Linked DNA regions of Oryctolagus cuniculus. Each later gene encodes a partner of the first gene's protein in a complex. Links are inferred from orthologs where the notes say so. Each region holds a gene or a part of one and is shown in the gene's direction. Other genes may lie near its edges.

Region 1 (4,616 bases):
CATAGCAGAGAGCTGGATCAGAAGTGGAGCAGCCAGGACTAGAACCGGCGCCCATATGGGATGCCAGCGCTGCAGGTGGCGGCTTTGCCCGCTACACCACAGCGCCGGCCTCAGTTTGCCATTTCTAAACTTGGCTCTGCACAAAGGCAAGAGCCATCTGTATTCTAAAGTGGAGCTGACCTCGAGCATGAGAATATACCAAACCTTCTAAGATAGCTCCATTTTGCCATGAATTTGTTTCCCCACTTGGATTTCAAGTTTGACCTCTTGCTTAGGGCAAGACCTAAAGGAGCGGAGTTGGAAATGGGAGAGGAGTAGGCGGAGAGCAGGGGCAGAGAGGCACATGTCAGGAAAGCAGGCTTCCGTGCAGTCCAGGGGCAGCCCGAGCAAGGGAACAAATAAAGAATAACTTCCGGGCCGGCGCCGCGGCTCACTAGGCTAATCCTCCGCCTTGTGGCGCCAGCACACCAGGTTCTAGTCCCGGTCGGGGCGCCAGATTCTGTCCTGGTTGCCCCTCTTCCAGGCCAGCTCTCTGCTCTGGCCAGGGAGTGCAGTGGAGGATGGCCCAAGTACTTGGGCCCTGCACCCCATGGGAGACCAGGATAAGTACCTGGCTCCTGCCTTCGGATCAGCGCAGTGCGCCGGCCACGGTGGCCATTGGAGGGTGAACCAACAGCAAAGGAAGACCTTTCTCTCTGTCTCTCTCTCACACTGTCCACTCTGCCTGTCAAAAAAAATTAAAAAATTAAAAAATTAAAAAAAGAATAACTTCCTATTTTTAAGATTTGTTTTCTTTGAAAAGCAGAGTCACAGAGAGAGAGGGGAAAAGAGAAGAAGAGAGAGATTTTGCATCTGCTGGTTCACTCCCTGAATGGCTGTAACAGCTGGGGCTGGACCAGGTCAAAGCCAAGAGCAAGGAGCTTCATCTGGGTCTCCCACCTGGGTGCTGGGGCCATCTTCCACTTGCCTTCCAAGGCATATGAGCAGGGAGCTGGATGAGAACTGGAGCAACTGGGATGCAAACCCAGCTCTGATAGGGGATGCTGGTGTCGCCCGCAGCGGCTGAACCCGCTGTGCCATGAGGCAAGCGCCACTGGAGAACTTCCCAAGGGAACAACGCATCTGCTGTAGGTGCCCAGACGTAAATGTGGCTTGTTGGAATGTGCACAGGTACATTTGGTGGCATGGAGGCTGGAGCCTCTGTCCTTCAAGGAACCCCTTTAGAGAGGCGGGAGGGAACCCTGGGATCCCCTGACTTTTCAGAACCAGGAAGTGTGTGTATGGAAAGGGCTTCTTTTTTTTTTTTTTTTTTTTTTTTTTTTGATGACAGATTTTTATTAAATGGAAGACACGGGAGATGGGGCGAGAAGTGGCAAGCACAGCCACGGGAGAGCAGGCATTCCTGGCTACGGGAACAAGAAGTTATGAAATCTAGGATTAGGTTCTCCTGCTTAGCTCTGACACTCAGGAAGGTCCTCTCCGTGGCACTCGCTCTCACCAGTGCTGGCATGAATGCATGTGCGCTAGTTCAGTTTGGCCAATAGTTCTTCTAGTTCAGGCCGGGCTTTGAACCGTCCTTTGAAGTCTTCTTCGGTGTGCTCCCTCACTGACAGTCTGACTCCTTCAGGAAGATTACTCTGGATTATTTCCAAGAAAATCTCTGCAAATGTAGCACTCAAACCGCTGATCTGAACCACTCGCTCGTGTGTGGTAAGGACTGAGTCCACGAACATTTTGGTGCCTTGATCCTGCAGCTGCAACACCTCCATGGTTTTGGTGGGCATCGCGTAACTTTCTTCAACTTTAATGGAAAGCTGGTTGCAGAGGTTGTGAATGTATCGGGCGTAACTCTCTGCCAGGGTCATGTCGTAGGCAGTGAGGTGAACGTTTAAAACCCCATATTCATAATCTGTCCCCAAATTGATGGGTCTCACTTCTACTTTTCCCCTCTTCTTCTTGGGCTCCTGAGCTTTAATTAGGTGCTTGTATCGTCCAATGCCATGGGTGGGTTTTGACTTGTAGTGCCGACTGGTGCTCAGTAGAATGCCACCTGCAGAATAAATGGGATTCTCTCCTGAAGTTCTGACTCTTAAGAGGGAAACCACTTGCTTAAAAATGATATTGCTCCTCAGGCACAGCACCTTTCCCAGGGTTCCGCTCATCCTTTCCTGCTGCGACCTCTTAGCTGTGGAAACCGAAGGTCCGCGCCAACAGCCGCGATTCTGGGACGTCTGTAATCGCTGCCGGCCTTGATCGGAAAGGGCTTCTATCTTGGAGACAGAAGCCCTCACTCACCTGGGCAGCCCGCCCTTCCAACTCCAGGGTCACCTGTGCAGGGTCACCTGGAGCTCCCAGCTTCCCCCACGCTGGCCTCTAGTGCTGCCTCCCAGGGCTCCGTTTGACTGCGAACTCATATCCTCTTCTCTCTTAGTAGCTGTGAGGATTTTATTTTGTTTTGTTTTCTTTTGTTTTGTTTATAGCCAGTATCTGGCTGTTATTTTTGTTGTCAAAAGAGAAATTTGTAAACAAAGTAGGGGTTGTTGTTGGAAGCTCCCCATCAATGCAAGGTCCTGGGAATTGGTTCATCAGAGCAAACCACTCATGCAGCCCACAGCTGGACTTTGCCAAATTCTAAACCATTAACATTATGACATCTGTGTCCTAGCTGAAGAGAAAGTATGTTTAATAGACAGCAATATAAGTGAGAAGTAAGAAAACATGTGGCCAACTATCTGGAGATACAGAAGAAAAAGCATCAATATAACTCTCTTTTTTTTTAAAAGCAGATTATTTATTTGAAAGATAGGGAGAGAGAGAGAGACAGAGAGAGACAGAGACAGAGACAGAGACAGAGAGTGAGCTCTCATCCACTGGTTCTCTCCCCAAATGCCTTCAATGGCCAGGATTGGGCCATTGGTCAAAGCTGGGAGACCGGTGCTCCATCCAGGTCTCCCACGTGGGTGGCAGGAACCCAGTGACTGGAGCCATGGCGGCCGCCTCCCGGAGTGTGCCTTGGCCCAACCTCACTTTCCTCTGTCATGTCATAGCAGCTGCGTTCCAGGCCTGCTGTTTTCTCTTTCAAATAAAGAGGAAACACAAGGTGGTCTGACTGGAAGGAGCTTGCAGTCAAGGAAGGGGGTGGGGTGGACAAAAAGCTGGTGAACAGGAAGAAACACCCACCCATCTTGCAAGGGCACAGGTGCCGGATGCGCTTGCGCGGTGCAGGTTGCTAAAGCAAAAAAATGCCCAAGACAAGGTGCAACTCGGGACTTTTCAGTTTAACCTTCCCAGGAGCCCAGCAAAGACTCCTGCCTCCGCTGGGCATGCTCCAAGCACACTTTTCTGTGAGGGTATAGAATTGAGGCTCTGGATTTTTCTAGGTGTGAACACTTTGTGTTCACGAGCAAACCTTCCTGAGCCAGGCAGACACTGTGGAATGAGCGTGCTCCCTGTGAGTCTCCGGCGAGATGCGTGCCGGGGGCCTGCATCACCCAACTGTGGGCCGTGGGGTTTCTATAAAGACTGACGGGCACTCGCCCTGCCTTCCTCCCCTACAGTCTTCCATTACCAAGTAAAGATCCACTTTTCCGGGACCGAAAGCCAAACGCAGACCAACCAGGCCTTCGAGATCTCTCTGTACGGCACCGTGGCCGAGAGTGAGAACATTCCCTTCACCCTGTGAGTAGTCCCGGGGCTCTGCCTGCCACGCGTGGGCTTGAGTCTGAGAAACAGAAGGGGATGTTGTACCAGAAAACAGGCTCTGGATGGAGAAACTGGGCCTTCGCTCTGTTTTGTGTTGGGAAAGAAAATCCTCTCAACTGGGGCCATCTTGTTTTCTTTCTTTTTTAAAAGATGCATTTTATTGAGTTGAAGGCAGAGTTATGGGGGAGGGGGAGAGGGAGAGGGAGAGAGAGAGAGAGAGAGAGAGAGAGAGAGATCTTCCATCCACTGGTTCACTCCCCAGATAACCACAACGGCCAGGACTGGGCCAAGCCAAAGCCAGGATGTAGGAGCTTCTTCTGGGTCTCCCATGTGGATGCAGGGGCCCAGGTACTTGGGCCGTCCTCTGCTGCTTTCCCAGGCTCATTAGCAGGGAGCTAGATCAGAAATGGAGCAGCTGGGACTCAAACCAGTGCCCATATAGGATGTGGGCACTGCAGGCAGAGGCCAGTGCCTGCTCATTTTACTTTCATTTACTATCTATAATTTTTCCTTTCCTGAATCATTTTGCATTTGCTTTTTCCTCTTATACAATTATTTAAAATAAACAATAATTAAATCCCCTGAAAAGACTTGACATTAAAGAAAATGGACAACAGGAACAGGAAATCACTCTATAAATGTAAATGTAAGACATACAGAAAATACATATAGTAAAAACCATGACATATTACTGATCAGAGGAATGCAACATTAAGTCAAGTTTATGATCTATTTTTATAAGTAATAAATGAACAGATTTTTTAAAAAAATACCCAGTGCTGGAGTGGGCAGCAAGCCTAGTGGTTCAAATGCCGATTAAGATGCTTGCATCCCCCGGTGCCTGGGTTTGATGCCTGCCTCCAGGTTCCTGTTAACCCAGATCTTGGCAGGTGGTGGTGATGGCTCAAGTAACT
Region 2 (4,418 bases), on another chromosome or scaffold:
GCTTTCTCAGAAGTGGGCTCTGGGCGGTGCAGTCAGGGTGGGGCAGGGGTCTAGGCCCAGCGGATTCGGGGGCTGGGAGGGGGCGAATGCCCCCATGAGTGTGGGTGCGTCCCCCCCAGGGGCCTGGGCTCCGTGGGGAGGGCAGCCAGAGCCTGCGCCCCCACCCCGCCCACGCCTGCCTCCTTCTGTGCTCAGGGACAAAGGGGGCTTGGACCTGCCTGGCCCCTCATGGACCTGCCCCTTCCTGCCCCCCCCCCCCGCTCCCGGGAGGGGGTCTGACGCTGCTCTAAGAAGCCAGCCCGGCAGCCTGCCAGAGCCGGCTCAAAGCCCCTGAGTCAGCAGAGGGCCGGCTGCAGAGGGCGGGGAGCGCGGGAAGGGAGCCATGGCCCCCCACCCCCACCCCCGTGGCCTGCTCTCCTGGGGGTCCAAGCGTCCCCTCTCCAGTCTCACAGCTGACTCCGCCCCCGTCCCTTCCAGCCCTCCTGCGGGAGGGGACAGAGCAGGGGGCTCGCAGCCCAGACGAGGCCCCATCGGCTCCATGCCAGCACTGCCCCTGCCCCTGCACCCACCTCCACTCTCAGCCCCTGCCCAGCAGGAGGGAGTGCGAGTGCCCGCGGGTGTCCCCGGTGCCCGGCCAGCACCCAGCTCTGAGCCCGAGGCTGTTGCTGCCAGGAAGAGCAATGGGACTTCCACGGGAGCCGGGCACGGGAGGGAGCCGGGTGCTAACACTGGGCACAGGAGGGAGCCAGGCACGGGAGCCAGTTACGGCCAGGACCCCAAAGCCCGGGGGCTGCGGGCAGGGGGCGGGGGTGACCACACTGCTGACAAGGGCACTGGGCTCGGCATGGCTGGGGGTGGGGGGCAGCCTGGGCTGGGGAGGAGGCTGGGCCCAGGGCAAAGGCTGGGCAAACCCAGGCCCTGATGTGGCCCCTGGGGGACACTCAGGACCAGCGTCCGTGTCCGCCTGGGAGATGCATGGGGGGCCAGGTGTCTGCACTGTGTTGGGGACCCGGCTCCCCCAGCCTTGTGAGGCCTCGTCCCCACCCAGGGGCCACCACCCTCGGCCTGGCCAGATGGGACTCCAGGAAGGACAATGCGTGCCAGGCCTGGAAGGAGATAGGGTGCACAGAGCTGGGGGGCTGGGCTCTCATTTACCTGCGAGTGTTTGGCCCCCAGCGTTGTGGCCCAGCTGGGATCAGTGAGGCCATCTCTCCCCCTGGGCGAATCTCGGGCTCTGGCCGGGACTGGGCAGTGCCCCCCCCCCGGAGCTAAGGAGGAGCGTCCCCTCCCTACCCCCACAGGGTCAGCTGGCCCTGGCCAGGGCCGTGTAGAGGTGGCACCGCAGGTGTAGCCCCTGCCCCCCGCTGAGTTCCTGGGGTCTTCCTGGGAGCAGCTCCTGCAGTGCAGACCAGAGGGACTGGAGGGAGTGGGTGAGAGGCGCACGGGGGGGGCTGCCCAGGTGGACAGGACGCCCAGTGCTGACCACAACCACTTCCTTCCCCCCGCGGCCCCAGAGGTACTGGAGGGAAGCGGCGTCCCCGGGCTGGCGCCTGTAGCTGGGGGCCAAGTCGGGACCATTGTTTGCCGCTGCAGGGGTGGGGGCCGTGGGAAGCCCCAGCAGTGCCCTTCGTCCCACTCAGCGCAAGCCCAGAGCCCTGTGCGAGGACCCGGCTCGCTCGGACGGGATGAAGGCGCTCGGGGCTGTGCTCCTGGCCCTGTTGCTGTGCAGGCAGCCAGGTGTGGGGGCAGAGCCCGGGGAGGAAGAGGGGCCCCCCGGCCCCCAGCCTCAGGCTCAGCCTCTCCAGCATGGGTGGGGGTCGTGGCGCGGGGCGGGGGGGTCCGTCGGCTCTCCCGGCCTCAGCTTCCTGCCCTGTAACACAGCAAGGCTGAAGTGAGGGCCCACCGCAGCACCTGCTGGGGCTGGTGGCCACCGTGCAGGCCAGCAAGCCGGCTGCGCAGGGACAGAGCAGGCCCTGCCGGGGCGGGGGGGCGCCCGGGGGCAGAGGGGCGCGGCCCCGAGCGGTGTCCTCTGCGCCTGGGTAGCCGGGGTTCACAGGCGCCCCTGCACGGCCAGGGAGAGCGCGGGCGCAGGAGGACGAGGGCGAGGACGACGACGTGGGCCTGGACGGCTACAGCGACGATGACGAGGAAGAGGAAGAAGAGGCCCAGGCCAACGCCGGCAGCAGGGACACAGGTACCGTCCCCCCCCCCGCCCAGCACTGGCCAGCGGGGCTGATGTGACCGGCGACTGAGGGGCGCCTGGCACACCCCACTCCTCTCACTCAGGGGGAAGGGGCTGGGGGCCCGGAGCGGGGGCTGGGGAGGCCTGGGTTCCATTTGGAAAGAGCTCCTGGCCCTGGAGAGGGTGGGCAGGGCGAGGCGGGCAGAGCCGCAGGGCAGCCCTGGGCGGGGAGGAGCTGAGGGCTCTTCGTGGGGGCGTTCACCCTCCGCGATCCGCACAGCCCCGGCTCCTTCTCCCGGGCCCTGCACTGCCCCTCAGCGGGCAGGGGCCTCAGCCCGAGCCCCGTCCTGCAGGGCGGCTACAGTGCTACACCTGCCAGGCCCTGCAGAGGGAGGAGCGCTGCAGCCACACCCAGAGCTGCGCCCACAGCCAGGCCTCCTGCACCACCCTCATCGCCCACAGCAACACCGGTGAGCCGCGGCCCCGCCCCCACGAGGCCCCTGGGGAGCCGGGCCGGGCCTCAGCACCCCTCCCCCTCCCTCCCCAGAGTCGGGCCTGCTGACCACCTACTCGACGTGGTGCGCGGACACCTGCCAGCCCATCACCAAGACGGTGGAGGGGATGCAGATGACCAAGACCTGCTGCCAGTCCACCCTGTGCAACGTCCCGCCCTGGCACAGCCCCCACCCCCAGGAGCCGCCGGGCGGCAGCAGCCCCGGCCACCCGCAGGGGGCGGGGGCCGGCGGGCCCCTGAGCAGCCTGGCAAACGTGGGCGCAGCCCTGCTGCTCAGCCTCCTCGCCAGCCTTTGAGCAACAGGGACCTGGGTGCTGGCCCCCACCGCCGGCGCGGCCAGCCTGGCCCCCACCCGCCCCTCGGACCCCGCTGCCCCGTGGGAATAAACAGTACTGGCTCCTCGGCCCGCGCCTGCTTCCTCCGCTCCCCGCCCAGCCTGGCCGGTCAGCCACTCCCCGCTGCTGCGGCCCCCAGGGGCTCCCCAGGCAGAGAGATGCCCACCACAGCTGTGTGGTCTGGGAGGCTGCAGGGGCAGCCAGCAGGGGGCTGGGGTCCGCAAGGGAGGGGGACCGGGCATCAGCTGAGGTGGGGCTCAGCAGCCCCGTCCTGGTCCGGGGACCCTCCCCCAGGCCGGCAGCCAGGTTACCCCCTGCTCTTCCCCAGGGGCTCCAGGGAGGAGAGGCCTGGGCAGGAGGGAGCCCGGCCCCTGATGTCTCCTCTGGTGGGCCTGGGCCTCCGTTTCCCCGGCCGAGCAGTGGGGAGCAAGGCTCACAGCTGGGTGTCCCACAGGCCTTTCCTGCTGATGCCCGTCCAGCGGGCAGTGAGGCGCCTGCGCTGTGCACTGTCTCCCTTCCTTACTACTAAGAGCCTCACTGCCCAGCTTGGGGAGGGGGCTGGAGGCAGACCCCTCTGTGGAGGCGGCATGGTCTTTCTCCTTCCTGCTGGCTGAAACAATGGCTGGGGCCCAGCAGCCACCTTGTGCCAGGAGGCAGCATGCTGAGAATGGCAGGGCAGCCTGGGAGGAAGGGGCCCCGCATTGCCTGCCGCAGGGTGGCCCTGCAGGGGAGGGAAATACACTGCCAGGCTGAGTGTTCAGTCTGTGATACTCACACTCACACACACACACGCATGCATAGATGCACACACACTGCCAGGCTGAGTGTTCAGTCTGTGATACTCACACACACACACACACACACGCATGCATAGATGCACACACACTGCCAGGCTGAGTGTTCAGTCTGTGATACTCACACTCACACACACACACGCATGCATAGATGCACACACACTGCCAGGCTGAGTGTTCAGTCTGTGATACTCACACACACACACACACACACGCATGCATAGATGCACACACACTGCCAGGCTGAGTGTTCAGTCTGTGATACTCACACTCACACACACACACGCATGCATAGATGCACACACACTGCCAGGCTGAGTGTTCAGTCTGTGATACTCACACTCACACACACACACGCATGCATAGATGCACACACACTGCCAGGCTGAGTGTTCAGTCTGTGATACTCACACACACACACACACACGTGCAGGCATAGATGCACACACACTGCCAGGCTGAGTGTTCAGTCTGTGATACTCACACTCACACACACACACACGCATGCATAGATGCACACACACTGCCAGGCTGAGTGTTCAGTCTGTGATACTCACACATACACACACACACACACGCATGCATAGATGCAC

The links. The genes of interacting proteins can lie anywhere in the genome.
Region 2: the proteins of LPL (region 1) and GPIHBP1 are in contact, whole or in part, in a crystal structure (PDB 6OAU), measured with the Homo sapiens proteins. The link is inferred for Oryctolagus cuniculus from reciprocal best matches to the Homo sapiens genes LPL and GPIHBP1. Residues at the interface, in NP_000228.1 of Homo sapiens: Tyr367, Gly368, Thr369, Ala371, Glu372, Glu374, Leu403, Met404, Lys406, Lys430, Lys440, Ile443, Cys445, Ser446, Arg447, Glu448, Val463, Lys464, Cys465, His466, Asp467, Ser469; in NP_835466.2 of Homo sapiens: Cys68, Lys69, Ser70, Leu92, Ala94, His95, Gly96, Asn97, Thr98, Glu99, Ser100, Leu103, Thr104, Thr105, Ser107, Trp109, Cys110, Thr111, Asp112, Ile117, Lys119, Val121, Glu122, Thr124, Val126, Met128.

What each region holds. Positions count from the first base shown.
Region 1 is NC_091439.1:2,927,449-2,932,064, reverse strand, and holds part of LPL (lipoprotein lipase precursor), read left to right. Parts: intron 1-1,291; exon of another isoform or gene 1,292-1,523; coding exon of another isoform or gene 1,524-2,162; exon of another isoform or gene 2,163-2,249; intron 2,250-3,557; coding exon 3,558-3,678; intron 3,679-4,616. Other genes in the region: large ribosomal subunit protein mL48, read right to left, coding at 1,524-2,162. UniProt on the Homo sapiens protein: Key enzyme in triglyceride metabolism.
Region 2 is NC_091437.1:167,323,998-167,328,415, forward strand, and holds GPIHBP1 (glycosylphosphatidylinositol-anchored high density lipoprotein-binding protein 1), read left to right. Parts: upstream 1-1,499; 5' UTR 1,500-1,685; coding exon 1,686-1,737; intron 1,738-2,074; coding exon 2,075-2,194; intron 2,195-2,462; coding exon of another isoform or gene 2,463-2,535; coding exon 2,536-2,652; intron 2,653-2,729; coding exon 2,730-2,992; 3' UTR 2,993-3,099; downstream 3,100-4,418.